7 linked regions of the Callithrix jacchus genome follow. Each later gene encodes a partner of the first gene's protein in a complex. Links are inferred from orthologs where the notes say so. Each region holds a gene or a part of one and is shown in the gene's direction. Other genes may lie near its edges.

Region 1 (3,500 bases):
ATAAATGTAATTTTAAGAATATGTTCTTTTTCTGATTCAATATTATTGATGTTCCAGCAGATGGTGAAGGAGGAACAGAAGATGAAAACAGGTCTGTTTCTGGGTTCCTTCACTTTGACACTGCTACAAAAGGTAATGCCCTTTGAATTTGTAATAAATGTATTTTATAGACATATATTAAATTGCTTAAAACTTTAAGGGATTTTTATGCCTGTGCCTGCAAAGGAAGGTATTTTTGTAAGTGGATGTATCAAATAAAATCAAATTTAGATTCTAATACAGTTTTCAGTTTCTTGACTAATGTTCTTTCTGAAAATAGCACTCTCTTTGAAAATCAACTGAATATGATGGTTTGCTCTTCTCTTCAATATCCCAGGTAAAAACAAATTACTTTTTATTATTTCTAGTACGTCGAAAAATTCTAAGTATTCTGGACTCAATTGACTTCAGTCAGGAGATCCCTGAGCCTTTGCAGTTGGATTTTTTTGATCGGGCCCAGATTGAACAAGTTATTGCTAACTGTGAACACAAGAATTTACGGGGACAGACAGTCTGCAATGTCAAGGTGAGGGTTGCTTTAAAGTACATGTCTGCAGTATCAAGTGGCTCAGACCTTAAATCATCAGAAACAAATAGAACCATACAGGTTTTCTTTCTGATGTAGATGTTGGTTTACTAGTTTATAGGAAAGACTGTGGTTTTTGTAAAATATCCCTGAAATAAAACTTAATATATCACACTAACTTTTTGAAAAGGATACTGTCTGGAAATTGGACAGTGCTATTATTAGATTATACATAAAGGTAGCTGACACTTTTCCCTTTAGGGTAGTTTATGGTAATTGCTGGGTGTTATTGTTCTACCATTGTCTGAAATGTCTTATTTTTCTTTCTTTTCCTAATTATCCAGCTTCTTCATAGGGTTCTCGTAGCTGAAGTAAATGCCCTTCAGGGTATGGCAGCCATAGGACAGAGACCTCTACTGATGGAGGTAAGTTGTATTGAGTATGTGTTCGTTTCAACCCTTTAACTACTTATGTTGCTGGTGAAAAAACTAAAATAGTATATTGACCTGTAGTTTGCTAATTATTAAGCTACCTAAAAATGAAACATTTAGGGAGTCTTTCACTTTAGATTGTACAACTTTTATAAGCTGAACTATCTGGTTTGCTGAAATAAATAACACCTTTTCTGCTAGGCTAGTTAAGGATTTGCAAGCTCACCATATTTCATATTAGACCTCACTTGGTGTCCATCAGTGAGAGAGGAAGGTCATTTGTCACCACAAGTGGAAAGTTATAGGTAAGAGGTCAGGTGGGAAGAACCACATGCATGGAGACATATAGCTGGCCAGGCCAAAGCAAGAGGCAAAGAAATAAGAGAGATGTCAGGGAACATGCCACTGAACTTGCAGTTTGGGTAATTCTAGTGCTGTAGAGTAAGTACAAGTAGATAGGTACAAGGAGAAAGAAGATGGTGTCAAAAAATACACATTTATCTATGCCACCTCTGTCCCCTACATTCATGCACATACACATACACACACACATACACATACAGCCTTTTTATAGCCCTGGCTATGGAAATAATACGAAAAGATCTGCTTTCTGGCATGCATGTAGTAGGCTTCCAAATAAATATTTTCTGAGTAACTGACATAACTGATCTTATTTGCCTGTTTAACCTTGTGATTCAATTCTTGTGGCTTTAGGAAATCAGCACTGTACTTCAATATGTGGTAGGAAGAAATAAATTGCTGCAGTGTCTCCATGCAAAACGTCATGCTCTGGAGTCGTGGCGGCAACTGGTAGAAATTATACTGACAGCTTGTCCCCAGGACCTCATTCAGGCAGAGGATCGACAACTGATTATTCGTGATATTTTACAAGATGTGCATGATAAGGTGACATACTTCCTAAATTACTTTATACTGCTGAATAAATATGTATTATTTAAATAAATATATTTTACTACCCTAATTGTTTTCCATTTTTGATTGGGAGTAAGAGAATTGTGCAATACCAATGTTAGGACTTTCCTTGAGAAAGGGATTAATTCTATACAGTAGTGACTCTCTACCACAGTGTGTGTCCAGATTATCTGGGGAGCTTTGTAAAAATTGACATGGACAGAATCCACCCCAGACCTACTGAATGTAATGGCGAGATCATTTTTGTGAATTTTGGAAAGAAAACCTCCCTAGGAAATTCTGATAGGAATTCCTTCTGGTTAAGAACACCCATAACCTAGTATCATATTTAAATTTCTTTGTATATATTAGATTCCTTTTCTTTTTTTTTTTTTTGAGTAATTCCTATATTCCATTCTTATTTATTGTTATCGTAGTTGATAAGCTAAATATATATGAAACTTGTTAATGGGCTGTGTGCAGTGGTTCATGTCTGTAATCAGAAGTTCGAGAGAAGCCAAGTTGGGAGGATCACTTGAGCCCAGGAGTTTGAGACCAACCTAGGCAACATAGTGAGACTCCATCTCTACAAAAAGTAAAAAATTAATCGAGCATAATGGTATGCACCTGTAGTCACAGCTACAGGAGGCTGAGGTGTGAAGACCGCCTGAGCCCAGGAGTTCAAGGCTGAAGTGAGCTGAGATTGTGGGTGATAGAGCAAGACCTTGTGTCCCCCCAAAAAAATAGCTATGAAACTTGTTAATTATTATAGCTGAAAGTAAGATTCTCACTCTAATTTGCCCTTGTCCTTTAAGATACTAGATGATGAAGCAGCTCAAGAGTTAATGCCTGTGGTCGCCGGAGCAGTGTTTACACTGACCGCTCACCTAAGCCAGGCCGTCCGCACCGAACAGAAGCAGACATTAGTCTCGGGACAAGGGGACGCCCATTACGCTTTTATGCTTGATAGTTCTTTCACGTCACCAGTTCCAGCAGAAAACCCATTAGTGGGTTTTGCTTCTATTGGAGATTCTTCACTTCACATCATATTGAAGAAACTGTTAGACTTCATTTTGAAGACAGGTTTTTTACATCTAAATTTTCTATAAATTACATCTTTTGTATTTGTTTTAAGTTTAATTGAGAACAGATTTTCATTTGACATCTTCCTAATCTCCCTAGGTGGCGGATTCCAACGAGTGAGGACTCACTTGTATGGCTCTCTGCTTTATTACTTACAGATTGCCCAGAGACCAGATGAACCAGACACCTTAGAAGCAGGTAGAATGAGAACAGTTCCTAATCTTCTCTGGATTGGGAGATGGTTACTTCCCCCAATCTCTATCTTTTGACTAATCACTTCTCCATCTTTTGACTAATCACAATGGTAATAAATGAGTGTGGGTGTCATTTTTAAAGCATGTACTCAAAAGTTGAGGAAGACTGTTTAGTTTTTCAGAATTATGTAGTAGTACATGAGTGCTGTTTTTTTTAAGAAACCCTCAAATAATAGTGTAGCTTTATATACTTCTGTAACTCCCTCACTTGCCTCAAGTTCCACGGAACACTATGCTCTGCAAAGAATGGTCCAA
Region 2 (4,111 bases), on another chromosome or scaffold:
ATGTTTGTGTCCTTCCCTTTCAAATTTATATGTTGAAACTCTGTCCCTCAATGGTATGGTATTAGGAGGTGAGGACTTTGGTAGGTGATTGGGTCATGAGAGTGAAGCCCTCAATTAGGGCACTTATACAAGAAATATTGGAGAGCTCCCTCATCCTTCTTCTGTGTGTGGTTACAGAGAGAAGAGTACTTTATTAGTGTGTTCTCACGCTGCTATGAAGAAATACCTGAGACCGAGTAATTTATAAAGAAATGAAGTTTAATTGACTCATAGTTCTGCATGGCTGGGAGGCTTCAGGAAACTTACAATCATGGTGGAAGGCACCTGCTCACTGGGCGGCAGGAGAGAGAATGAGTGTAAGCAGGAGAAATGCCAGATGCTTATAAAACCATCAGATCTTGTGAGACTATCACGAGAACAGCATGGTGGAGACTGCCCCCATGATCCAATTACCTCCACCTGGTCTCACCCTTGACATGTAGGGATTATTGGGACTATAATTTGAGGTGAGATTTGGATGGGGACACAGAGCCAAACCGTATCAAGTGTTATCTATGAATTAGGAGGCAGGCCCTCAGCAGACACTGAATCTGCTGGTGCTTTAATCTAAGGCTTCCCAGCTTCTAGAACGGTGAGAAATAAATTTCTGTTGTGTATAAGCCATTCAGTCTATGGATGTCTGACCCCACTTGCCCCCGCTCACCATCTTCCAGCCACACACCCCTTCTTTCTAGTCTCCAAACACTAATCTGGCTTCTCCTGGAGACTTCACTCTTGTTCCCTCTGCTTGGAATTCTTTGAAGCCAGAACGTTGCAAGCTCCATTCTTTCTCATCCTTCTTTAGTCAGCTCAAGACGCCACCACCACAGAAAAGTCTCCTTTGACCATCCAAGCATTCTCTCTCCCATCACCCTGTTTTTTCTTCATAGCTCTTCTTGCAAACTGCAGTTACTTATTTATTATATTTTGTTTCCTCTGCCAGCCTGGGAACTCCATGAGGGCAGCGATCTTGTCTGTCGTGGTCGCCACTGTGTTCCCAGCTCGTAGACTACGGCCCAGCCCTTGGCGCTCAAGGATTAAGAAATTGCTTTAGCTTAAGGAATTCTAGAATCACTTTCTCCTGACAGAGCCGACTCTAATCAAGTGAGAAAGGTGAAGGCTGTGGCTGCCTGTGCCCAAGGCGTGACGGTTCGGCCCAAGGCCCAGCCTCCTCCCCGCCCCTGTTCTTGTCCTCCCCCGACGGGTCTCGATAAAGTTCGTTTGATGGCGCGCCGCGCGGGGGCTTCTGGGAACGGCCAGCGTTGGCCAATCAGGAAGCGGGGGAGAGCGGCGCGAGAAGCGGCGGCCGCGTACTTCAGCCGGCACCCAAGCGGCGGAGACAGCTGTTGTACAAGGTAAGGGTGTCTCTGGTCGCGTCCTTCCGACCCTGGGCTTGTCCTTGAACCCAGGACCCCGTGACTGGGTGGAGCGCCGTCCTCACACTCGCAGCCCCGCCGCTTACACTTCCCGTTCTCCTCAGGGCAGCCAGGCACGCCTAACGCCGGCGACACAACGCCTTGTCTAGCCGCCCCCGAGGCTTAGAGTCGGGCTGCTGCCCTGGGGGTGCCTTTCATCCGCCCGCTTTCTGTATGCAGAACCTAGGCCTGTCACTCCCCCTTCTCCACTGTGACGCCCTCGCTCCACGCCCCTGCTCTCACATCCACCTCATGCCCCGCGAGCCCGCCCTGCCTGCTCGTCTGCACGTCATGGACACACTCTCTAGGGAGACGTTGCCCTGCGAGGGAAGGGATATTTGGGGCAAGTGGAACTTTTCCCAACCATTGGCTTGTCTTTTGTACATCCAGGAGGATGCTAGTGATTGGAACCCAGGAGTGGCCCACCCTTCTCTGTGCCTGCTCCATCCCGTTCTCTGCAAAGGCGATGCCCAAGTTCACTGGGTTTCTTTTGAAAAAATTATGGGGCCGGGCCCATGAGTCTTTGCTGAAAGCGAGAAAGACCCGTTGACAGAACCTGTGGTCTGGGTTTGCCCTTCTGTTAAGTGTGGGAAGGAGGTTTTATTTATTTATTTTTTGCTTTGACTGAGTTGTCTTTGAGCAAAAGCGAGGGTCTTTTTGTATTCTTTCTGGGAGATGTGGGAGGATATCCTTGGTCATCCTAGCTTCTCTTCTTTTTTTCTTTCAGTTCTCCTCCTTTGTGCATTGGTGTTTGCAATATTTTTATTTTCATTCATGGTGATCTCATCCAGGTTCATAGCACTAAATACCTACATATCAGAGGCTAACAGATTCCATATTTATGTCTCCATTGTAGGCCTCACCCCGACCTTTATCCAGCCACCCACTTAGTATCGGATGATAGGCAACTCAGACATGTCAAGAGAAGGCTAGCAAGCTCCCCTTTATTACCCTCCCCAAACTGATCCTGTTGCCTTTTTTTTTTTCATCTCAATAATAGGAAAGACGCTGGCTAATAACCTTTGAGACGTCATTGACTGCTCTCTTTCTTTTTCCTTTTCTTTTTTTTTATTTTTTTTTTTATTTGAGACAGTCTCCCTCTGTCACTCAGGCTGGAATGTAGTAGTGCTGTCTCAGCTCACTGTAACCTCTGCCTCCCAGGCTCAAGCGATTTTTCTGTTTCGGCCTCCAGAGTAGCTGGACTACAGGCGTGTGCCACCTTGCCTGGCTAATTTTTTTTTTTTTTTTTTTTGAGACGGAGTTTTGCTCTTGTTACCCAGGCTGGAATGCAATGGCGCTATCTCGGCTCACTGCAACCTCCGCCTCCTGGGTTCAGGCAATTCTGCCTCAGCCTCCTGAGTACCTGGGATTAACAGGCCTATGCTACCATGCCCACCTAATTTTTTGTATTTTTAGTAGAGACGGGGTTTCACCATGTTGGCCAGGGTGGTCTCGAACTCCTGGCCTCAAGTCATCTGCCCATTTCAGCCTCCCACAAAAGTGTTGGAATTACAGGTGTGGGCCACTACACCCAGCCCTCTCTTTTTCGCACTGCAAATAATACTTGCCGTCCTGGGCTAAGTCACCACCTGTCTTTTGGATTATTGAAATAGTTTGCCACTTGGTCTCCCTGCTTCTGTCCTGGCTCCTATTTTCAGCATACCAGCTAGAGGGATCTTCTTAAAACACAGGCTGTCAGACTGTACCATTCCTTTATTAAAAAAAAAGAAAAAATCCCTCCAGTGAGTCCCCATCTTATTAATGATAGACAAACCCCTTACAGTGAGCTATAAGGCTTTACATAATCTGACCCACTGTTACTTTCCCAGTCTCATTTGCTCTCTCCCCTTGTGCTTGCAATTTAATATCCATGTAGTTTGCACTCACTTCTTCAGGTCTTTACTAGGGGTCACCTAGTGAGGCTTTCCTCACTTCCCGCCTCCCTTCGTCTCTTCAGTTGTTCTTAGCACTTACATTTTACGTATTTTTCTTGCATATTGTTGTCTTCTCCCTGTAGAATATGAGTGAGGGGATTTTTATCTGTTTTGTTCCCTCATGTATTCCTAGCACCTAGGTCTGGCACACAGTAGGTGCTCAAAAAAATATGAACTAGATGAATGTTACTGGCACTGTTGTGGGCATGGAGATACAGTGGTGAATGAGACAGGCCTGCCTTCATTTAACTGATGTGCATATGGAGGGCACCACTAGCAATAAAAGCACAGATTAAAAAAATGTGATGTCAGGACTGTTTCCTAAGGGAGGACAGGTATATTTGAATAATGGGACTATCTGAGAATATTGCAGGTAGGGGGTAAGCAAGTCATGGGACTATCTGAGAGTATTGCAAGTAGGGGGTAGAGCAGGTTCGAAGACCCTGAGGTGTGAGCATTTGGAGATGTGGTGAGCCTGAGGGTCTTAACCTGCTTCCTGATGAACTGAAGTAGAAAATAAAGTTGACGGAAAGATGGATGTACCAAGGAGAGGGACAGGTCAGAGCAAAGATCCGAAGGTAAGAGGGCCCACTCCTCATGAAAAAGTTTATTTAAATAATGTGGAGTTAGAGGGAAGATCTTTTACAAGGTGTGTTCAGGGAACAGGCAGTTTTAATTCAACAGGCATGTATCTGGTACCTATTATCTGCCAGACCTAATGCT
Region 3 (4,217 bases), on another chromosome or scaffold:
TATACTTTTTTCTGAGACAGAGTCTCACTGTCGCCCGGGCTGGAGTGCAGTGGCGCAATCTCGGCTCACTACAAGCTCCACCTCTCGAGTTCAAGCGATTCTCCTTCCTCAGCCTCCTGTGTGGTCCACAGGCGTCCGCCACCACACCCAGCTAGTTTTTGTATTTTTAGCAGAGACAGGGTTTCACCATGTTAGCCAGGTTGGTCTCAAGCTCCTGACCTCAGGTGATACACCTGCCTTGGCCTCCTAAAGTGCTGCGATCACAGGGGTGAGCCACCGCGCCCAGCCTATTTTATTTTTTGAGACAGAGTCTGGCTCTGTCACCCAGGCTGGAGTGCAGTGGCGCAATCACAGCTCACTGCAGCCTCGACCTCCTGGGCTCAAGCATCCTCCCACTTCAGCTTCCTGAGTAGCTAAGACTATATGTCCATGCCATTCCTCTGGCTAATTTTTTTTTTTTTTTTTTTTTTGAGACGGAGTTTCGCTCTTGTTACCCAGGCTGGAGTGCAATGGCGCGATCCCATGCCCAGCTAATTTTTTTTTGTATTTTTAGTAGAGACGGGGTTTCACCATGTTGACCAGGATGGTCTCGATCTCTTGACCTCATGATCCACCCGCCTCGGCCTCCCAAAGTGCTGGGATTACAGGCTTGAGCCACCGTGCCTGGCCTAATTTTTTTTTTTTTGAGAGATGGGGTCTTGCCATGTTGCCCGGCTGGTCTCAAACTCCTAGGCTCAAGCAATCCTGTCTGCCAAGTGCTGGGATTATGGGCATGAGCCGGCGGTGCCTGGCCTACCTCATCAATTAAATAAATAACAACCCCTAGGACGTCTCTAAGATTACGTGAGATCCCAGATCTGAAGGTTTTTGCAAAGGACTTGGCACAAACTCGTGCGTCTGGGAGTGGGTATGGCTCTTGCTCTGGAGATGACTACCTTGATAGGAGCAGACAAAGTTGCTCTTTGGTGCCCGTTAACCTCCCCTCCCAGCCTTCACCTTCCACATTTTAAAAGTCGCCTCTGGCGACCCCTCGACCCAGTTTTTCTTAATCTCCCTCCCTCCCCTTGCATAGCCCAAAGCCTCCCTCAAAAGCAGCCCCTGAAAACATCTGTCAAGTTCCTAACTTCTCTGAATCGGAAGCTACTAATAGCCAACCTACATCTAAGGGGAACTGTAAGGTTTCAGAGGAACAAGGGGCATATGTCTCTTAGGCGTGGGCCGCTCAAGAGGCAACACTGACACTACACGGACCCGCGCTGGCCGCGAGGGCGGGAGCACCAGGACGATCCAGGGCGCAGGCGCGACGGCCCTACGACCTCCCCCAATGAGGACCGGCTGCCGTGACAGCGCGCGTCTTCTACCGATTCCGCGACCTCCGCTGACCAAGCTTAACGTCACCAAAGCGCGCCGGAAATGTAGGGTCTGCTGCGCGCCACTGGCGCTGAGGGAAGTAAGTTTGCTGTGGAGCGAACTGGGTTCTGCGGACTAGGCCGTGGGAGGCAGCGTCGGCTGCTTCGACACACCGAGGGCGACACGATGGGAGACGAGATGGATGCCATGATTCCCGAGCGGGAGATGAAGGTCAGAGACTAGCCAGGGCCTTGGAGCCCCTCTGAAAGGCGAAGCGCGATTGCCCGCTGTCCCGCCTTCTCCTTGAACAATTTACCGCGTTCACAGCTCTTGGCAGCGCGTTTGCCGCGATAGCGCCACCCGATGCAGTTTCCCAGTCCCTTCCTGGTCTCGTACACGCCTCTTGAGTTACTCTAGCTACTTCATGTGGCGGTCACCATAGTGGCAATAACTACTGTTTATTGAGCGTTTGCTGTGTGCCAGGCACGGTGGTAGTCATCCCAGCAGCCCTACGAAGTAGTCGTTAACGTAGAGTCGAGGCTCGGAAAGTGATTGACCTAAAGTCACATTTGACAGGGGGCTGAAAGCCAGCATCATTTAAGACTTTTGCTCTCCCATTACTTCTGTAAGGTGGTACGGGCTTGCCTAACGTAGAGCCACGGAAGGTCATCCGTCCTGCAGAACCTTTAGTTGATTGGACGAGGAAGACTATTTTTGACATAGGGTATCAGCCCAAAGTCAGGAACCTAAATCGAGGGCCAAGTGGTCCCAATAATGGCGACGTGGGAGTCCCCAGGGATAACTCCAGGATGGTGTGGTTAAGAGTTCTCATATACTTTCTGACAGAGTGAGGGGACAGCAAATGAGCTACATCTGTTTTAAGCAGTGAAAGGAAGTAAGTTGCAGGAATATATATATATATATATATATATTTTTTTTTTTTTTTTTGAGACGGATTTTCGCTGTTGTTACCCAGACTGGAGTGCAATGGCACGATCTCGGCTCACCGCAACCTCCGCCTTTTGGGTTCAAGCAATTCTCCTGCCTCAGCCTCCCGAGTAGCTGGGACTACAGGCTCACACCACCATGCTCAGCTAATTTTTGTGTTTTTAGTAGAGACGGAGTTTCACCTTGTTGACCAGGATGGTCTCGATTTCTTGACCTCGTGATCCACCCGCCTCGGCCTCCCAAAGTGCTGGGATTATAGGCGTGAGCCACCGCGCCCGGCCAAGTTGCAGGAATATTTTAGTTGCCTGTGTCAACAGTAAATCACTAAAATGCATTTAGGAGATAGTAACCCATACCATGTTTAGAAAAGTGATTTTTTTTTTTTTTTTGACAGAGTCTCCCTCTGTCGCCCAGGCTGGAGTGCAGTGGCATGGATCTCAGCTCACTGCAACCTCCACCTCCCAAGCTCAAGCGATTCCCCTGCCTCAGCCTCCCGAGTAGCTGGGATTACAGGTACCTGCCACCATGCCCAGCTAATTTTTTATATTTTTGGTAGAGACTGGGTTTCACCATGTTGGCCAGGCTGGTCTCGAACTGCTGACCTCAAATGATTCGCCTGCCTCAGCCTCCCAAAGTGCTGGCATTAGAGGAGTTAGCCACCATGCCCTGCCTAGAATAGTAATTCTTTTTTGAGAATCACCACCTGTGGTGAGCTACCTAATGGGATTGTGTCATATTTCTCAGATATGCTGGGGTAGAATTAAAAAAGGGTTTATTAATAGAACCACAGACCTAGAAGATGGTAATCTCATACTCCCTTTGGCAGTACATATAAAATTGGGATAATGCAGAGAAGACAAGCACGGCTCCTGTATGAGGATGACACACAAATTCGTGAAGTGTTCCATATCAGAAAAAAATCAGGGCCAGGCGTGAGTGCCCACTATACTCCAGCCCGGGCAGCAGGACAAGACCCCATCTCAAAAAAGAAAAAAAAAAGGCGACCACAGGCGGTGGCTCACGCCACTTTGGAAGGCCGAGGGGGGCAGATCAGGAGGTCAGGAGATCAAGACCATCCTGGCTAATACAGTGAAACCCTGTCTCTACTAAAAATACAAAAGATAGCCAGGCGTGGTGGCTCATGCCTGTAGTCCCAGGTACTTGTAAGGCTGAGGCGGGAGAATTGCTTCAACCTGGAAGGCGGAGGTTTCAGTGAGCCGAGATTGCCACTGTCCTGCAGCCTGGGCAACAGAGTGAGACTCTGTTTCAAAAAAAGAAAGACAATTGAGGCAGTCCTTGGTCTTAGTAACACACACTTTTGTTGTTCTGAAATTGAGTCTGCTGAATATAATATGTTTTAATTTATTCATTGAATTGATTTTGTTTTGATTCTTTACAATAGGATTTTCAGTTTAGAGCGCTCAAGAAGGTGAGAATCTTTGACTCCCCTGAGGAATTGCCTAAGGAACGCTCGAGTTTGCTTGCTGTGTCTAACAAATATGGTCTGGTCTTTGCTGGTGGAGCCAGTGGCTTGCAGATTTTTCCTACTAAAAATCTTCTTATTCAAAATAAACCGGGAGATGATCCCAATAAAATAGGTAAGTTCCCTGGTTTATGTTGCAAAGTAGAGAGAGGAGTATGGTGTCATGATAATGGGTTTCCTTCCCAAGAAGTCACTCTAATGTTAAAATGAATACTGTCAGTTTTCAAGTTGACGCCCAAGAAGATTAACGGAAACCTTTCTCAGTTTTCCCTTTGGTCCTTTGTATTTCTCTTTCCATGAGTTGTTCCTCTCAGCTCAAGGGGGAAGAATTTACCATTATGCCATGCTTTTATTTTTACCCAGTTGAACTTGGGCTCTGGCTCTCTGGGTGAAGGGTTTTGTTGGAATGGGTTTTCAGTTGGCACAACAGGACGAT
Region 4 (3,500 bases), on another chromosome or scaffold:
AATTGAGAAGGTGGAGTATTAGGATAATTGGATATTGTTTGTTCATTTATTTGCTCTTTTTTAAAGTCAAAGTTTCAGTCTGTCACCCAAGCTGGAGTACAGTAGCACAGTCATAGCTTACTGCAACCTTGAACTCCTAGCTCCCATCTCAGCTTCCCAAGTGGCTAGGATTACAGGCGGGCATCACCATGCCTGGCTAATTTTTTTTTTTTTATAGAGATAGGGTCTTTCTATGTCGCCCAGGCTCATCTCGTACTCCTGGGCTGAAGAAATCCTTCTATCTTGGCCTCCCAGGATGCTGGAATTATAGGTATGAGCCGCTGTACCTGGCCCTGATACTGAAATCATTAAGAATTATGGCAAGAGTAGTATGGGAGAGAGTGACAGTGGGCCAGCAGCCAAAATCAACTGCAATGAGCATGGGTAGCAGGTGGTATCTGATTCCATGAGCTTCAGAGCTGAGTGGTTCGGGTAGGAGAGGAGGAACAGTGACCTAGAATGCCAGTGGGGAGCAAGGACATCTGTATTTTTCCCTTGAGGCCCCACTGCAAAGGGCATGGTAGAGAAAACTCTGGGGTCACTGCCCTCACGGGAGATCCAGGATCCAAATTATACCATAAGGCAAGAAAACGAAGGAATTATTCAGAGATGAAATTGAGGATCCAGAAAATTATGCTAATGCCATGAGTTATCAGAAGCAAAGTAGCTCTGGGAAATCATCAGACATGAAAAGGTACTTACATCCTTGGGAGTAGATAAGATGTGCCTTGGAAGAAAGTGTATAGTGAGAGAAGATGATCCAGGATCCAGGTTTGAGGAAATCTAGTCTATATAGGGGTCAGGTCAAGGAGAAGGGGAAGAAATGGACAGGAATGTGGGAGGAAAACTGGGAGAGGGTAGTACCATAGGATTCATGAGAAGAGTTTGTTTTAAAAAGAAAGGCTTCTGTAGTGTGGAGGAAAAAAAAAAAGAATAAAAAATAAAAAGGAAGGCAAGATTAAGTATGTGGAATGGTGCTGAGAGATCAAGTAAGAGGGCCAGGCACTGTGGCTCACGCCTGTAATCCCAGCGCTTTGGGAGGCTTAGGCGGTTGGATCATCTGAGGTCAGGAGTTTGACACCAGCCAGGCCAACATGGTGAAACCCCGTCTCTACTAAAAATACAAAAATTAGCCAAGCATAGTGGCAAGTGCCTGTAGTCCCAGCTACTCAGGAGGCTGAGGCAAGAGAATCGCTTGAACCCTGGAAGCAGAGGTTGCAGTGAGCTGAGATCACTCCATTGCACTCCAGCCTGGGCAACAAGAGCAAAACTCCATCTCAAAAAAAAAAAGATCAAGTAAGAGAAAGACTGAAGAGTCCACTGGAATTGGTATATTGACTTTGACAAGAAGAGGGTGTGGCAGAGGCAAAAGCCAGATTTAGTAGGCTTAAGAGTAGGAGTGATGTGAGGAAATAAGAGAAAGGTTGGCCATGAAGGGGAATGGAGAGGATGGGATAACTGGATTGTGAGTGAGGGGAGGCCAGAAAACAGCTTATTTGAATGGTGATGGAAGGCCCTGGAAGCAGGAGAGGCAGATACAGGAGAAATATGCAGAGAAAGCCAGAAGTTAGCCTTTAGTTGCTGGAAGAAGCCTTCTTTTTTGGAAAGGATGCAGGTGATACGGTAGATATGGCAATGGGAAATTAAGGCACTCCCAGCAATGCTGCGTGCTATGGTTCTAGACCTACACCCGGCAGAGTTGCACCTGAAGAAGGTTACCTGCATCCCAGCACACTTCTGGTTTTGTTTAAGCACAGTATGTATTGTCATTTCTTCTTCAGGCATGTGATATACCATGAGTTATTTTCTGTCACTTTGAAGCTCTTTTTTTAAGGATTGATAGGTTTTTAAAAAAATTTTTTAAATGGCGCAATCTCAGCTCATTGCAACCTCCACCTCCTGGGTTCAGGCAATCCTCCTGCCTCAGCCTCCTGAGTAGCCGGGATTACAGGCACGCGCCACCACGCCCAGCTAATTTTTTGTATTTTTAGTAGAGACGGGGTTTCACCATGTTGACCTGGATGGTCTCGATCTCTTGACCTCGTGATCCACCCGCCGCGGCCTCCCAAAGTGCTGGGATTACGGGCTTGAGCCACCACGCCCGGCCCTGGTTTTTAAAAATTTTTAACAAAATGTTCTTTTTTTCTGGTTCTGCTTTAAACTGTGTTTTCCACTGGGCTGTGTATTCCTTAGCAAGATCTGATAAATATTAAAACTCTTTTAGCTAGGCTGGGTTTGGTGGCTCACGCCTTTAATCCCAGCACTTTGGGAGGCCAGGCAGGCGGATCATGAGATCAGACCTTCGAGACCAGCCTAGTCTGATATATTTCAGTGCAACAGTCAATGAGAAAGAAAAGCATAAAGTTTTCAAACAAATGTCTCTTTTTTAACAGGAAGACCTCTGGAGATACATTGGAGCTGGTGGAGGAGTCACTGGACGTAAATCTGTTGAATAATGCTGTTCGCCTAAAATTCCAAAATTGCAATGTCTTACCTGGAGGGGTTTATGTCTCTGAGACTCAGAATCATGTAATAATCCTGATGTTAACCAATCAAACAGTGCACAGGTTACTTTTACCACACCCTTCCCGGATGTATAGGAGTGTAAGTTGGCTAAGTACAATACCTTTTATTTCCCAAATTACTCTGGGTGTCACAGATCGAGTGCTAGAGCAATATCCTTTGGAACCGAAGGAAATTTGGATTCTTGTTATCCCTCACCAAGCATACTTTGATAGTTATCACTTAAAATCATCAGGGATACATTTTAAGTTGAGAATTAGTTTTCATTAAAAAGAATAGCTTTCTTCTTAAGCTTGACAGTTTTTTACTTTAAAAACTTCTTTAGCAATAGAGAGAAACAGCAAAATTCTGGTTATTTTGATTTAATAGATTTTTCTTTTTAATTACTCAACAGGAGTTGGTAGTTGAAAGTCAGATGCAGTCAATATTCACTGACATTGGAAAAGTTGATTTCACAGATCCTTGCAACTATCAATTAATTCCAGCAGTACCTGGAATATCTCCTAATTCTACCACCTCAACAGCCTGGCTTAGCAGTGATGGGGAGGCCCTGTTTGCTTTACCATGTGCTTCTGGGGGAATCTTTGTTCTTAAGCTACCTCCTTATGACATACCTGGTAAGAATGGGAACTGAGCATGGATTTAACTTTAAACAAGGAATGTTAACATTGAAACAGACCTTAAAAGTTCAACCTCCTCATCCAGTGCAGAGATTGCATCTCTTCTGCCCCAGAACTGGTTTGTTTGCCTGATGAGTCCCTAATGCTTTACTTTTATACAGTGGATAAGGAACTATAAAGCATTTGGAGCACGGAAAAACAAATAGACAAGTATAAGGCAGCCTATTCTAAATCCTGTAGTAAAGATGAGTTGCCTAATTGTCTGTCCTGAGATAAAGGCATTAAACATCATAATTAAATTAATTGAAACAAAGAAGT
Region 5 (4,294 bases), on another chromosome or scaffold:
AATTTGAACAATTTCCTTTCAAACATTGTTCTCAAACTTTATCTTTACTAATTTCCTCTTTCTAATTTCAATTATACAATTTTCTTCTTCATTTCTAACATCTTCAGATAAATGCTTGGTTTATTTTTATCCTTTCTTCTTTAAAATAATGTTCTCCTATAGCTTGGTCTGTATCTTAGAATGTTAACATATAGTTTTTTTCAATATCATTAGGTTCTAGTAACTGTAATTTCTCTTTCCTTTTAGAACTCAAAGGCGATTTATAAAAGTACCTTAAAATTTACAGTATGAACAAAATAAAAGTTCCACTTTGATTTTTAGGGGTGCTAAACCTTAACTAATTTTTAGCTTGTTCTATCATACTATCCTTACTTATGCAAATTTAGCTCATCTTTCTAGGTCTAATATTTATGCCACCTCCTTTAAGAAGCCTATCTTGTATTCTCTCTCTTCTCTAAACCATTATATACATCCCTTAAACATGTAATGTTTATACTATCCTCTGCCTTCAACTCCCATCCTCAGGCTATTTTATTCACGTTTATGAGATCTGCTGTTTAGCTAAGTATTTTGCGGGTTTTCAAAAGATTCCACTCAATTTACAGAGCACCTATGCACCATTTTACTAGGTACAAAGAAAAGCCTTAAACAGATAATAATCATGGCCTTCAAGAAATTGAACCTAGTAAGAGAGATGAATAAGAAGACATTCAAGTGAGCTTCAAGAGACTTGGTTTGGTAGTAAAGACAGTCTCATGTGTATAAACAGCTTACAGCACTGTAAAATAAGAGAGAGAAACGAATAAATCCGTTTTAAACAGTTCAAAGGAGGAAACCGAAAGGGAAGGGTGGTTTAGATACTGCCTCACCATAAATAGCCTAATAATCTAACCCTGTGATAATCCAAGTATAGTCACAGTACCTGCCTCAGAATCACCTGGAAGGCTTGTGAGGGGTAAAAACGAAGATTCATACCTACTGAAATTAGAATGGGGAAAGGGGCATTTAAATCTGCATTTTAAACACTTTCCCCAGGTACTGAGGTCATCCAAAGTTTTAGAACAGAGCAGAGCCAAGTTTCGCAGATCTTGTTCCTCAGCTACTCCCTCCTAGCCGGAGGGTGGCCTGCAGCGTGTCCCTTCCCTTCCCTCCGTCGGAGCTGTGTGTCCAGTTTCCGAACGTCGGCCCCACAGACCTCAGGGCTTCAAGCAAGACACGACTAGCACCCACCCACCGCGGGCACATCCAGCAGGGATCAGAGGCCGGACCCGCAAAGGATTCGGGGAAAAAGGCATCGAGCCAATCCGAAGGGCGAGAGCAGCCCGAGAAATGGGTGGGTGAAGGACAGAAACATTTTTCTCTGATTGACGTAAAACGTACCCAATGAAAACAGAGAATTGTGAAGCTTCCGCCCGAATAGGCAGAACCGTGGAGATTTTTCAACCAATCCAGCTCAAAAGTGTCTATGTTGTGGGAGGTCCCTTAGGCCGCTAAGGTCGTTCGTGTCTGTTGAACGGCTGTGAAAGTCTTGCTGTCTTGGGTAGGGGGTTAAAATCGTTCTTGAGAGGAACGTCTCTGTCCGAAGAGATAATGAGTTTAGCTCTGAGGTCGGTAATAAGGAGGCGGCAGTGTTCTCCACACCCCGGAGCGGGACGCAGGGAGGGTGTGGAAGGGAGGCCGTTTGGGGCCGAGGCGAAGTAGGGGATGCAGTTTCGGGACGCGGGAAAGGAGCCTAGGGTAGCTTACCCGGACCAGTCACCCTCTGGGCCCTGGTGCCTTGCAGGGATCGAGTCCAGTGCGTTTCTACTGAGGAAGTTATTTCTGTCAGCGCGTAGGGCTTTGGACTGCCAAAAAGATGGGCTTAGTTGCGAGCGCGGAGGGAATGAAATATCGCGAGGCTTTTACTCGTTTCTGTGAGATACCAGGCCGCGGAACATCCCTTCATTCAATTCGTGTAGCTGGCCAGGGCCCCGCCTCGGCTGCTTCGCTGCTAATGCAAATCACCCACCTATAAATTTTGGCAATAACACAAAACTCCTTCTTCCTCATTTCTCAGGGCGTTGCCTTATGGTGTAGTTGGAGACCCATTTTAGTGAATTTAATTGGCAAACTGTCACTTGGATTTCCTCAGCTTCTTGCATTTCTTTGCCTTTCAGTTCTAACCTCTAACCCTCTGTATGTTGCCCTCTCACCCTTTGTAGAAGTTGTACCGTAAAACTATATACTTAGGACAATAAAAATGTTCCATGTTCTGCTAAGGGATAATCGTACCCTTGAATGGGGTCAGGGGGTGGGTCGGTTCTGGACTTGGCCTCTAGAAGTCTCAGGAAGGAAAAGACTGACCCCAGGAATACCCAAATTTGTGTCAAGTCAGGTTTCATGAAAGGAAGCTTCATCAGCTTTGTCATACTGCACCTACTGGTCACTTCCTGGCCTTTTTTTTTTTTTTTTTCCTAGCTTTCAGAGACCAAAATGACTTTCAAATGCAGCTAGATACGTGTTTTAAATAGAGTCAACTGGTTTTTACATGATAATGTGTTATCGAATTATAGGTTTCAAACTTGTTCTTATACCAGTGTTGCATCCCCCTGTGAAAATTTGGAGCATGTTTAGATGGGCAACTCTTAAAGGAAAATATTTCTGGCTTTAAAAAAATTACTTTTTTTCTTTAAGGCTTTCCAGAGTTTGTTTATGAGAAGTTTAACCTCCAGTTTACATGTTAAGTGAGACAAGACTCTTCACATTTTTATATAGAATGAAGCACAAATATTGTATTTTTTTGGCATCTAATATTTGTCATGTTTAGACTCATTAATATTTTGAATGATTTGTTAATATTGATGGAGGAAATGACAAATTGCCAAACTGTTAGAAAGGTGTAATCTAAAAACATTTTTAACCAACAATGCTAAAATACTAAGTTAATTCGGTTGTATGTTTTTGTAGTACTTTTACGAACTTAATTATAAGAGCTATCAAAAGTAAACCGACATATAGTGACTGTCAACTATGAATTTTGGTTTCGTTTGGAGTTATTTTTCTTTAACAGTCTTAGAATAATGTGAGTATTTTGTTTTTTGGTTAGAGTTGGTTGGAGTTTCAGATATAAAAGCAATGTTACTTATTCACAGTTCTTGTTTTTTCCACAGTAACATTAGTGGGAATAAATAAAAAGCTGGGAAAAGGAAAAGTATGGTCCTCATTTATTTTACTAATCTTTAACAATCTTTAGTTTTGGGAAGTTCAGATTTATAGCAATTTAGATTATGGAGTAAACAGGGCATTGACTCATAAAGGGAAAGTTTCCCTATCTTTCTCCAAAGTACTTTCTTTTTTAAAATTTAGAAAATAATTATTGGCTAATTTCTGTTAGCAAAGAGAATTAAAGTAGACTTTAATTCTCCTTTAATTTAAGGATTTTTTTCTTTCCATTTCATAGAAGCGAGCTTGTAGTAGATAAAACAAAGAGGAAAAAAAGACGAGAATTGTCTGAGGAACAGAAACAAGAAATTAAAGATGCTTTTGAACTATTTGATACAGACAAAGATGAAGCAATAGATTACCATGAATTAAAGGTAATGGTATACTTTAAAATATTTGTTTTTATGTTAAAATGATTTGCATTTTGACAGTTGCTTTACATTGCATTTCTAAATAATTATTTTGACTAAACTGGTTTGGAACTATGAAGGCATTTTAAGCATTCCTAGTTAGTTGCTATAATAAAACTGAACAGAACCCCTAACAGTTTTTAGAAAGTCTTTTTCACATGATAAAATGAATAGTATTTTAAATGTAAAAATATATTCCTAGGGAAGGTGCTTATTTTTCACTGACATAATTAAAGGATTTCAAACTGGAATTTAAACTATTCTTACCATATTCTTTTCACTGTTTTGTTTTTGTTTTTGTTTTGTTTCTTGGTGACTCACTGTATTCAGATTGAGGGAGTGTTGTCTCTTAATCTTAAAAATTGGATTTGTTAGTAACATAGTCTCAATCCACTTTCTCTGGTGCAAATTTAAGTGCTGTTTGATGTTGACACATGCTGATGGGTAAAATGTCAACTTTAATACCTAAAATGTCAAGATGTGGGGAGAGATTTGTAAATTATATTTGTCGAGGTATAGGGAGAGATTTGGGTTTAGGGTAGAATGGGACTTTTAGCACAGTGGGAAAGATAGCATTTTCAGATTTTTAATAGCCTTAATGGATAGGTGAATATAAGTATGTGTTTTAATTTTTCTAATTTTGCAAGGGATTTTTAAGCATAAGAATTCCAAGTAGGGGGTAG
Region 6 (4,078 bases), on another chromosome or scaffold:
AAGAAAAATAATAAAGGAAGTATAGCACTAAGATTTGTTTTTTTTTTTTTTGAGACGGAGTTTTGCTCTTGTTACCCAGGCTGGAGTGCAGTGGCGGATCTCGGCTCATCGCAACCTCCGCCTCCTGGGTTCAGGCAATTCTCCTGCCTCAGCCTCCCGAGTAGCTGGGACTACAGGCGTGCACCACCATGCCCAGCTAATTTTTGTGTTTTTAGTAGAGACGGGGTTTCACCATGTTGACCAGGATGGTCTCGATCTCTTGACCTTGTGATCCACTCGTCTCGGCCTCACAAAGTGCTGGGATTATAGGCGTGAGCCACCGCGCCCAGCCAAGATTTGTTTTTTTTGAGATGGAGTCTCACTGTGTTGCCCAGGCTGGAGTGCAGTGTCGAGATCTTGGCTCACTGCAACCTCCACCTCCCGGGTTCAAGCGATTCTCCTGTTTCAGCCTCCCGAGGAGCTGGGATTACAGGCATGCGCCACCATGCCCGGCTAATTTGTATTTTTAGTAGAGACAGGGTTTCTTCATGTTGGTCAGGCTGGTCTCGAAGTCCCGGACCTCACGTAATCCGCCCGCCTAGCCCTCCCAAAGTGCTAGGAGTACAGGCGTGAGCCACTGCGCCCGGCCTGTATTCTAAGTAGAGACGAGGTTTCCTCATGTTGGCCAGGCTGGTCTCGAACCCCTGACCTCCAGTGATCCGCCCACCTAGGCCTGCCAAAGTGCGGAGATTAGAGGAGTGAGCCACCGCGCCCAGCCTTCAGTGGTGTCGATTTTGTCCGGGTGCTTCTTGTATGTGTTCTAGTGTGGGAGTGGCGGCGATTGCTTTCCAGCACAAATCCGTTTGACTGTCGGGGTTTGGACAAGCAGCTGCGACGACACTAAAGTGGAGACCAGGATGGGGCGAGGACTCCCAGCGTTGGTAGAGGTTGTACGCTCACTGGGGCCCTAGCGCTGCCCGAGTTCGCACCAGCGCCGCAAAGCTCACGCACGCGCAGTCGCACCGTCTCTGGCCCCAGGGTCCTCCCGCCCCTCCCGCCGTCTCCGGGGGCCTTTTCTCCGCCCGGCGCGGGGATGTCCGCGGTGCCGCCTGATCCTGTGAGCGCGGTACCGTGAATGCAGTCTGCCCTCGGCGCTCTTCTCCCTGACGTGCTGTCGAGGCCAGAAAGGAAGGACCCGCTCAGAGGACCGCAGACGGGTGGCTGAGAGGAGAGGCCCCCGCAGCATTGAGGGTTTGGGCTTGCAGGCGCTGCAGGAGGCGCCCAGCGGGGTCCTCTCTTAGCCAGCTCTGAGCTGGAGGCCTGAGCGGGAAGCATTGGCGGTGGGGCGACTTCCAGGAGGCTGGAGTGTAGCGCTATGGAGGAGCTTGATGGCGAGCCAACAGTCACTGTAAGGGCGCCCCGAAAAGGCTTGTTCGTCCTTGCGGCTCCAGAACTGCGTCTGCTTCGTTAGTTCAGGCTTGTCTGCTTCCCTCCTGGCCGCTAGGCGCTCGTCCCCTACCCTTGACTCAGTTGCCACTGTCCGAAGGTCGCAGTGTTAACGAAGTGCCCGCCCTCGAGTTGCAGTGGTTGCAGGGTTTCTGCCACCAGTCACAAGTCCTGGCCCCGAAGGTCCCACTCCATCCCTTTCCCTCCTTTGTCTTCCTGGCCTTTCTATTTCCCTCGCTTTTCCTCTTGGGCAGTAGAGTGGGTTCAGCCCGAGCAGAAGTATTGATGTTTTTCTTCTAGCTATGTTAAGCTTTGCAAGCGGTACATTGAGCTTCTGCCTGTGTGGTCTAAGGTTTATTGAACGTATTTATTCTCTGGGGAGACTGTTAAAACGTGCGCTTTGAATGAAGATACACCCAGACTTTGTGTGAGCAACATGGCTGTTTATTCACCTGGGTGTGGGCGGGCTGAATCCGAAAAGAGTCAGCGAAGGGCGGTGAGATAGGAGTTGGTTTTATAGGTTTGGGGTGGGCAGTGGAAAGTTAGAGTGACTTGTAGCCACGGATGGGGAGGCGGTGTCCCTCACCCTAGGGTTAAGGTAGGGGGACATAAGAGGAGCTATTCAGGAGGTATGGGTTCGGGGAGGAGGGCGCCAGTGAGGTGTGGCTATAGCCCAGGAATAGTTAAGGAGGCAGACAATTTTGCTAGGATATCTTGGCCTAACAGAGGAATTGGACAAGTGGGACTGATTAGGAAAGAATATGGAAAGTGGTGCTGGCCTAATTGACACCAGACTTGGGGAGTTTTGAGAGGCCTGGAGACCTTGCCGTCAATTCCCACAACAGTTATGGAGGCCAAGGAGACAGGTCCTTGAAAAGAAGGCAGTGTGGAGTGTGTGGCTCCGGGTTGATTAAGAAGGGGATGGACTTGACCTCCACCAGTTACTCGAAGCGCAGTGTTTGTGATGTTCCAGGGAGCCTCTGAGATGTTCAGGCAGCATCAGTCTTCAGCCACCAAGCCAAGGAGATCAGGGAAAGAGTCAGCCTGAGGGCTCCCGGGTTGGGCTCCTGGAGACTTAAAGACAGCAGTTTGAGTCTGGCAGTCCTACCTCCATTGGGGTCCCACACAGACAGGACATGGCTTAGGAAGAATCCCGGTTGGGAGGCTGAGGCGGGCGGATCACGAGGTCAAGAGATCCAGACCAGCCTAGCCAACATGTTGAAACTCCGTCTCTACTTAAATACAAAAATTAGCTGGGCATGGTGGCGCGCGCCTGTAGTCCCAGCTGCTTGGGTGGCTGAGGCAAGAGAATTGCTTGAACCCAGGAGGCGGAGGCTGCAGTGAGTCGAGATCCCGCCACTGCACTCCAGACTGGCGACAGAGTAAGACTCTGTCTCAAAAAAAAAAAAAAAAAAATCCGGGCTGCAGGCATTCCTTGGCTCAGTGGCCAGGTTCTCGGCATTTGAAGCAAGGCTTTGGGGAAGGAGGTCCTGAAGAGAAGTCTGGACGCTGTGGGTTTGGTGGTCTGAAACTTCTGTGAGCCGAAGAAGAAGTAGCTGTGGTCTATCTTACAGAGGAGGCAAGCATTTGTAATTCCGAAATACGCTGCCCCTGGGTAGCTTTTTCCCTATTATTTAACACCTTAAAGGTGAGGTCAATTAATTCCTGTTGTGGGGTTTGAGGGCCAGATTCTAATTTCTGTGGCTTTTTGTAATGTTAGGGACTCAATGGGTGATAAAATGCATATCAAGCATTCTTCAGGGGTGAGAGTAGAAGTAAGGATGACATTTAAGTCACTCCAGGCGAGATTACAGGCCTGGGTTAAGTATTGGAGGATCTGATGTAAAAGAGCCTAACCATTGGCTGATTTGGGAAAGGTCGGATAAAGAGAAAGGAACCTGCACCCTAACTATGCCTTTGGCTCCAGCCACCTCTCGAAGAGGGAATTGTCAGACAGGGGTGGAGGAGGTAGCCACAGGACTAAACTGCAAGCTGGGGCACTTATGAGGTGGCGAGGTGACAGGAGGGGCATAAGGAAATGGGTTGTGGGCAGAGGAAGAGGAGGAAAGCTCTAGGGGTTGGGCTTAGGTCCTGGATTAGGGCCTGGTTCCGACAGGCAGGGAGGAGAAAGGTCGGAAGGGTCGATGGACAAGGAGAATTCTAGGTTGCTGGCAGAGGCAGGAGGGGCAGATGGAAGGGAGAGAAGGAAAATTTGGGATGGGTTGCATTGAGAACAGAGATTAGGGAGAGATTGGTGTGTAAAAAAAAATGCCTGGACGTAGAGAATTTGCCCATTTTACTACGAAAGTTATCTAGATCCTGTAGGATAGAGAAATTGAAGGTACCATTTTCTAAATGGACAATGGACATTTAGAGCCATTGTCCAATTTATATCATGGTCAAGCAGTATTGCAGAAGAAAATAAGATGCTTAGGTTTTAGGTCAGGTGATAGCCGGAGAAGTTTGAGGTTTTTTAGAACGTAGGCTAAGGGAGAGGAGGGAGGAATGGAGGGTAGGAGTTTGCCCATAGTTTAAGAAGAGCGGGGCTCGGCGCGGTGGCTCATGCCTGTAATCCCAGCGCTTTGGGAGGCCGAGGCAGGTGGATCACGAGGTCAAGAGATTGAGACCATCCTGGTCAACATGCTGAAACCCC
Region 7 (4,166 bases), on another chromosome or scaffold:
AGATGTACCGAGCAGACCCATTCTTTAGGAACACTCGCTGGGAAAGCTCGGCAGATGTACCGAGAAGACTCATTCTTTAGGAATACCTAAGAGTTCGGCTGGGTTCGGTAGCTCATGCCTGAAATCCCAGCACTGTGGGAGGCCGAGAGGTGGGGGGAGTGGGAAGAGGATCACCCGAAATCAGGAGTTTGAGACCAGCCTGACCAATATGGTGAAACCCCCTATCTACCAAAAATACAAAAATTAGCTGGGTCCCATTTCAAAAAAAGAATAGTTCACCGGACAACGTGGCTCATGCCTATAATCCCAGCACATTGGGAGACCGAGGCAGGTGGATCACTTGAGGTCAGGACTTCGAGACCAGCCTGACCAACATGGTGAAATCCAGTCTCTACTAAAAATACAAAAATTAACTGGGCCTGGCGGGTGCCTGTAATCCCAACTATTCGTGAGGCTGAGGCTGGAGAATTGCTGGAACCTGGGAGACACAGGTTGCAGTGAGCCGAGATGGCACCACTGCACTCCAGCCTGGGAGACAAAGCGAGACTTCATCGCGAAAGGAAAAAAAAAAAAAAAAAAGAAGTAGGAGGTTCTCCCGTGCAGCTGGGAAAGACGTTCCAACAATCCTCATTTGTACTAGGCCCTTTGGTGGGCCATTCCCTTAGGGCATCTCTACTGCTCCTAATGTCTGTCCTAGAAATTCGGAGAGGGAAAGAATGTGCTGGGGCAAGCATAGGTCAGAAAAGAATAGGGTAAGGATCTAGGCCCCTGAAGCAGCCTCAGGCAAACTCCTTGGACAGACAGACCTCCCGGAAGGGTCCTCAAACTCCGCACGTGGTCTGTCCAGGAAGTGCGGGCAGAGAGACGAGAAAGCCTTCCCAGCAGCGCCCGCGGACCGGGGCAAGTAAAGGGTCGAATAGTTACCATGCCATTCTGGGGCCGTCCCTCTCATTGGCCCGAGCTCCCGCAGCCTGAGTCTCAGCGCTCCAAGGCAGGGGGCGGAGTCTCTATTTTGCGTCACCACTCTTCCCCACATCCCGCCGGTGCTTCCCAATCTAGCCATTCACAAGCCCACTTAGAGAGGCCCTGTGTGACGTCACAACTCACTCCCATCAACCGCAGCGGCGAGGGGGCGGGACCCCACGGCCCTCTTACCGCTCCTCCCCTGTACCGCCCCTAACTCCTTGTGTCCCTCCCCTTCCCTCTCGCCCCTTCCACCCCGAAGACCGCCCTCATGTTCGGTTTCAAAAGACGCGTTGCCCAATGAATAACAGGGCCGACCCAGAGTGGCGGCCACGTTCACCAATTCGTGGACGGCGAGGGCGGAGCGCCTGCAGCGAGCCCCTGACGCCGGGCGGCGTGTGACGCACTCGGGCCCTCTGCGCGCTGCGCCCGAAGCGGTGGTCGGTAGCTGTGGTGGTAGCGGCGGTGACGGTGACGGTGACGGTTTCGTGGGGGCCGCGCGCTGCTCCGTTAGCGGCGGGTGGCGGACGGGACCGGGCCCGGATTCCTGACATTTCCCCTCTCCTAAAGAACCGCGGTAAGTCGGGAGCCGGAGATGCCGCGGCCGAGAGCGGCAGGCTCCTCCTCCCTGGAGGACGGACGCGCGGGGCGTCCCAGGGCCTCTCAGCGCCGAAGTCTCTCGCCGCGGCGCACACCTTCAGGCCTGAGAGAGGGGCGGGGCCCAGGACCCTGAGTCTCGGTGGTCCGGTTCTGGAGGCCCTGGGAGGGAATGGACATCGGTGGGATCTAGGCCTGGGGGTCTCCACTTGAGCCCACGCGAGTGGGCGTCTGTCTGGTTGTAGTCATTCATTCGTTCGGCGGTGTTAGGACCCCACGGTGGGCTGGACTTTACGGAATCGTCCTTTACGCCTTGAGACTCCGAATATGGGCTGCCCCGCACTTCCTTGACCGTCATGTGGGGATGGGCTTTATTTGCTTTGGCTTCTCCTTAAGGGAAATGGGCACCTCGAGGATTAGGGTGAGTCTGAAGTTTGTTAGATTTTTAAACTAATATCTGAGAATGGAAGTCGGTTCGGTGGAGCAAAAGGTTTTCTGTTTTTCCACGTGTTCCGTGTAAAGCCAGATGAGGAGAAAAATGGAGTTTCTGGATTACTGCAGCCATAAAGAACTTAGAAATTGTTTAAGTCAATCTTCCTACCTTACATCGCATTTCTGTCGATGGGGAAACTGAGGTCCGTAGTAACAGGCAGGATTAGCCAATGCCAGATCTCTGACAGTCTAAAAATTTTTTTACTTAGATGTTTCAGCCTCCCATTATTAAGAATTACCTTTAGGAAGTCGGTGCGGATGCATATTAGGTAGCTGGACGTAGATGGAATCTTCATAGCGTTTTCCATTTAGTTGCTACCAGCTCTGTTTACGGAAGGTGGAAGCTTCGTTAACCTAGACCTCAACAACTAAACTTAGAAGATGGTTAAAGAATGTCAGTGATGTTATTTATTGGAAACAAATCGATAAAACTACAAGCCATTGTTGGCCTTTCTAAATGTGAATTTTTTGATTTGTGCCAGCTGCTGAGGACTCGCAGTCAGTGATTTTTAACAGTACTGGAATAGAAAGCAGAAAATACTGACAGGACTTAGAAAGCTAAGCAGGAGTCCGTTTATAGTACCTCATGGCTCCATTCAGGTACAGAATTCATAGTGGAGTATTATAGTAGAATGAGGTGAGAAAACAAAACTCCATTTTGGAGGAAGAAGCTATCAGAAAGAGAGAGGAAGGGAGGGAGGGAGGGAGGGAGGAAGGGAGAAAGGGAAAGAGCAGTGATTATTCCCTGTGACAGTCTTATAAATTCAGGAAGAAGCTCTAGTTAGTTAACTGGGTTACAGAATGTTTACCTGGTGGAGGAAGTTAGAGTATTTAAAAACCAAAACTAGAGATTGAACAGGATAAAGGTACTGGGAAGGCTGGGTGCAGTGGCTCATGCCTGTAAACCCAGCACGTTGGGTGGCTGAGGTGGTCTGATCACGAGGCCAGGAGTTCCAGACCTGCCTGACTAACATGGTGAAACCCCATCTCTACTAAAAATACAAAAATTAGCCCAGTGTGGTGGCGCATGCCTGTAATCCTAGCTACTCGGGAGGCTGAGGCAGGAGAATCACTTGAACCTAGGAGGTGGAGGTTGCAGGGACCCAAGATCATGCCACTGCACTCCAGCCCGGGCGACAGACCAGACTCCGTCTCAAAAAAGAAAACAAAAAAGGTACTGGGAAATACTTGGGTAAAATTACTGGTTTTGACTTCTCAGATTTGATGAAATTGAATTAGTTGACACTTTGGTCTGTTCACATCAGTAAGGTTGTCACTTTGCTCTTATTTAGATGACAAAGCATAAACTCAAAACCAGTAGTGCAGGGAGAACAGTAAAGCATGAACAGGGTATGTTTTCTGTGACATTTTCTCAGTTCAAGCGTCTTCTGGGAAGCTTTTCTTGGCATTCTCTCCTCTGCAAGCTTCCATAACACCTATTTGATACTTCTATTTATAGCACCTATCATTTCTATTTTAGCTGTGTTTTTATTAGTCTGGTAAAATATTTTTGTCTTTGTAGTCCAATTGCCTGCCACATAGTAGGCCCTCAATAAGTGTGTTTAGACTTATTGAATGAATAGACAAATATGGAGGAGTTATACCTAACAGTAGTCAATAAAGAAATCTGTTTATATGTTATGTGTTAGTCTGCTGTTTCTAGGTTATGTGATACTTTGGTACCTGACTTTATTTAATGAGATAGGGTCTCACTCTGTCACCCAGGCTGGAGTGCAGTGGTACAGTCTTTCGGTTCACAGCAGCCTTGACCTCCTGGGCTCAAGCAGTCCTCCCACCTCAGCCTCCAAAGTAGCTGGGACCACAGGTGTGCACTGCCATACACAGCTAATTTTTTTATTTTTTATTTTTTATTTTTTGGGGGGTAGAGACGGGGTTTTGCTATGTTGCCCAGGCTAGTCTTGAACTCCTGGGCTCAAGCCATCCACCCACCTCAGCCTCCCAAAGTGTTGGGATTACAGGCAGGAGCCACTGTGATCAGCCAGTACCTGACTTTATGTCTGCTACATCTTAGATAAATAAGAGCAAGTAGAATTTTTAGGGAACCAAATTTACAGCTTTGAAAAAATTAGCCAGTTTTTTTGTAATATGATTTA

Evidence for each region.
Region 2: NUP205 (region 1) and NUP93 share a complex: the UniProt entries of both Homo sapiens proteins name them as parts of the nuclear pore complex. The link is inferred for Callithrix jacchus from reciprocal best matches to the Homo sapiens genes NUP205 and NUP93.
Region 3: NUP205 (region 1) and NUP214 share a complex: the UniProt entries of both Homo sapiens proteins name them as parts of the nuclear pore complex. The link is inferred for Callithrix jacchus from reciprocal best matches to the Homo sapiens genes NUP205 and NUP214.
Region 4: NUP205 (region 1) and NUP160 share a complex: the UniProt entries of both Homo sapiens proteins name them as parts of the nuclear pore complex. The link is inferred for Callithrix jacchus from reciprocal best matches to the Homo sapiens genes NUP205 and NUP160.
Region 5: NUP205 (region 1) and CETN3 share a complex: the UniProt entries of both Homo sapiens proteins name them as parts of the nuclear pore complex. The link is inferred for Callithrix jacchus from reciprocal best matches to the Homo sapiens genes NUP205 and CETN3.
Region 6: the proteins of NUP205 (region 1) and NUP85 are in contact, whole or in part, in a cryo-EM structure (PDB 7TDZ), measured with the Xenopus laevis proteins. The link is inferred for Callithrix jacchus from reciprocal best matches to the Homo sapiens genes NUP205 and NUP85. Residues at the interface, in XP_041443600.1 of Xenopus laevis: Glu1477, Cys1480, Arg1481, Cys1484, Asp1485, Ser1517, Gly1518, Tyr1519, Leu1520, Lys1521, Val1522, Val1524, Asp1525, Ser1574, Gly1575, Gln1582, Gln1638, Gly1641, Gln1642, Gln1645, Val1648, Leu1690, Asp1691, Ile1692, Gly1693, Leu1694, Asn1695, Asp1696, Gly1697, Ser1698; in XP_041431608.1 of Xenopus laevis: Ala86, Glu87, Glu88, Ala89, Ser90, Gly91, Lys92, Ser93, Arg94, Lys95, Pro156, Pro239, Met240, Gly245, Thr246, Gln247, Thr248, Leu249, Thr250, Glu251, Phe252, Glu253, Leu254, Lys255, Trp256, Gln257, His258, Trp259, Pro315.
Region 7: NUP205 (region 1) and NUP98 share a complex: the UniProt entries of both Homo sapiens proteins name them as parts of the nuclear pore complex. The link is inferred for Callithrix jacchus from reciprocal best matches to the Homo sapiens genes NUP205 and NUP98.

What each region holds. Positions count from the first base shown.
Region 1 is NC_133512.1:111,667,489-111,670,988, reverse strand, and holds part of NUP205 (nuclear pore complex protein Nup205), read left to right. Parts: intron 1-57; coding exon 58-132; intron 133-407; coding exon 408-565; intron 566-909; coding exon 910-990; intron 991-1,710; coding exon 1,711-1,902; intron 1,903-2,723; coding exon 2,724-2,991; intron 2,992-3,090; coding exon 3,091-3,189; intron 3,190-3,500. UniProt on the Homo sapiens protein: Plays a role in the nuclear pore complex (NPC) assembly and/or maintenance. May anchor NUP62 and other nucleoporins, but not NUP153 and TPR, to the NPC.
Region 2 is NC_133521.1:14,609,296-14,613,406, forward strand, and holds the start of NUP93 (nuclear pore complex protein Nup93), read left to right. Parts: upstream 1-1,311; 5' UTR 1,312-1,394; intron 1,395-4,111. UniProt on the Homo sapiens protein: Plays a role in the nuclear pore complex (NPC) assembly and/or maintenance. May anchor nucleoporins, but not NUP153 and TPR, to the NPC. During renal development, regulates podocyte migration and proliferation through SMAD4 signaling.
Region 3 is NC_133502.1:179,776,350-179,780,566, forward strand, and holds the start of NUP214 (nuclear pore complex protein Nup214), read left to right. Parts: upstream 1-1,417; 5' UTR 1,418-1,536; coding exon 1,537-1,581; intron 1,582-3,110; exon of another isoform or gene 3,111-3,212; intron 3,213-3,700; coding exon 3,701-3,896; intron 3,897-4,217. UniProt on the Homo sapiens protein: Part of the nuclear pore complex. Has a critical role in nucleocytoplasmic transport.
Region 4 is NC_133511.1:112,898,790-112,902,289, reverse strand, and holds part of NUP160 (nuclear pore complex protein Nup160), read left to right. Parts: intron 1-2,432; coding exon 2,433-2,643; intron 2,644-2,956; coding exon 2,957-3,179; intron 3,180-3,500. UniProt on the Homo sapiens protein: Functions as a component of the nuclear pore complex (NPC). Involved in poly(A)+ RNA transport.
Region 5 is NC_133503.1:120,374,678-120,378,971, forward strand, and holds the start of CETN3 (centrin-3), read left to right. Parts: upstream 1-1,494; 5' UTR 1,495-1,590; coding exon 1,591-1,607; intron 1,608-3,439; coding exon 3,440-3,575; intron 3,576-4,294. UniProt on the Homo sapiens protein: Plays a fundamental role in microtubule-organizing center structure and function. As a component of the TREX-2 complex, involved in the export of mRNAs to the cytoplasm through the nuclear pores.
Region 6 is NC_133506.1:131,122,075-131,126,152, forward strand, and holds the start of NUP85 (nuclear pore complex protein Nup85), read left to right. Parts: upstream 1-1,278; 5' UTR 1,279-1,354; coding exon 1,355-1,387; intron 1,388-4,078. UniProt on the Homo sapiens protein: Essential component of the nuclear pore complex (NPC) that seems to be required for NPC assembly and maintenance. As part of the NPC Nup107-160 subcomplex plays a role in RNA export and in tethering NUP96/Nup98 and NUP153 to the nucleus.
Region 7 is NC_133511.1:69,220,630-69,224,795, reverse strand, and holds the start of NUP98 (nuclear pore complex protein Nup98-Nup96), read left to right. Parts: upstream 1-1,366; 5' UTR 1,367-1,540; intron 1,541-1,875; exon of another isoform or gene 1,876-1,981; intron 1,982-4,166. Other genes in the region: acyltransferase PGAP2, read right to left, coding at 807-1,063. UniProt on the Homo sapiens protein: Plays a role in the nuclear pore complex (NPC) assembly and/or maintenance. NUP98 and NUP96 are involved in the bidirectional transport across the NPC. May anchor NUP153 and TPR to the NPC.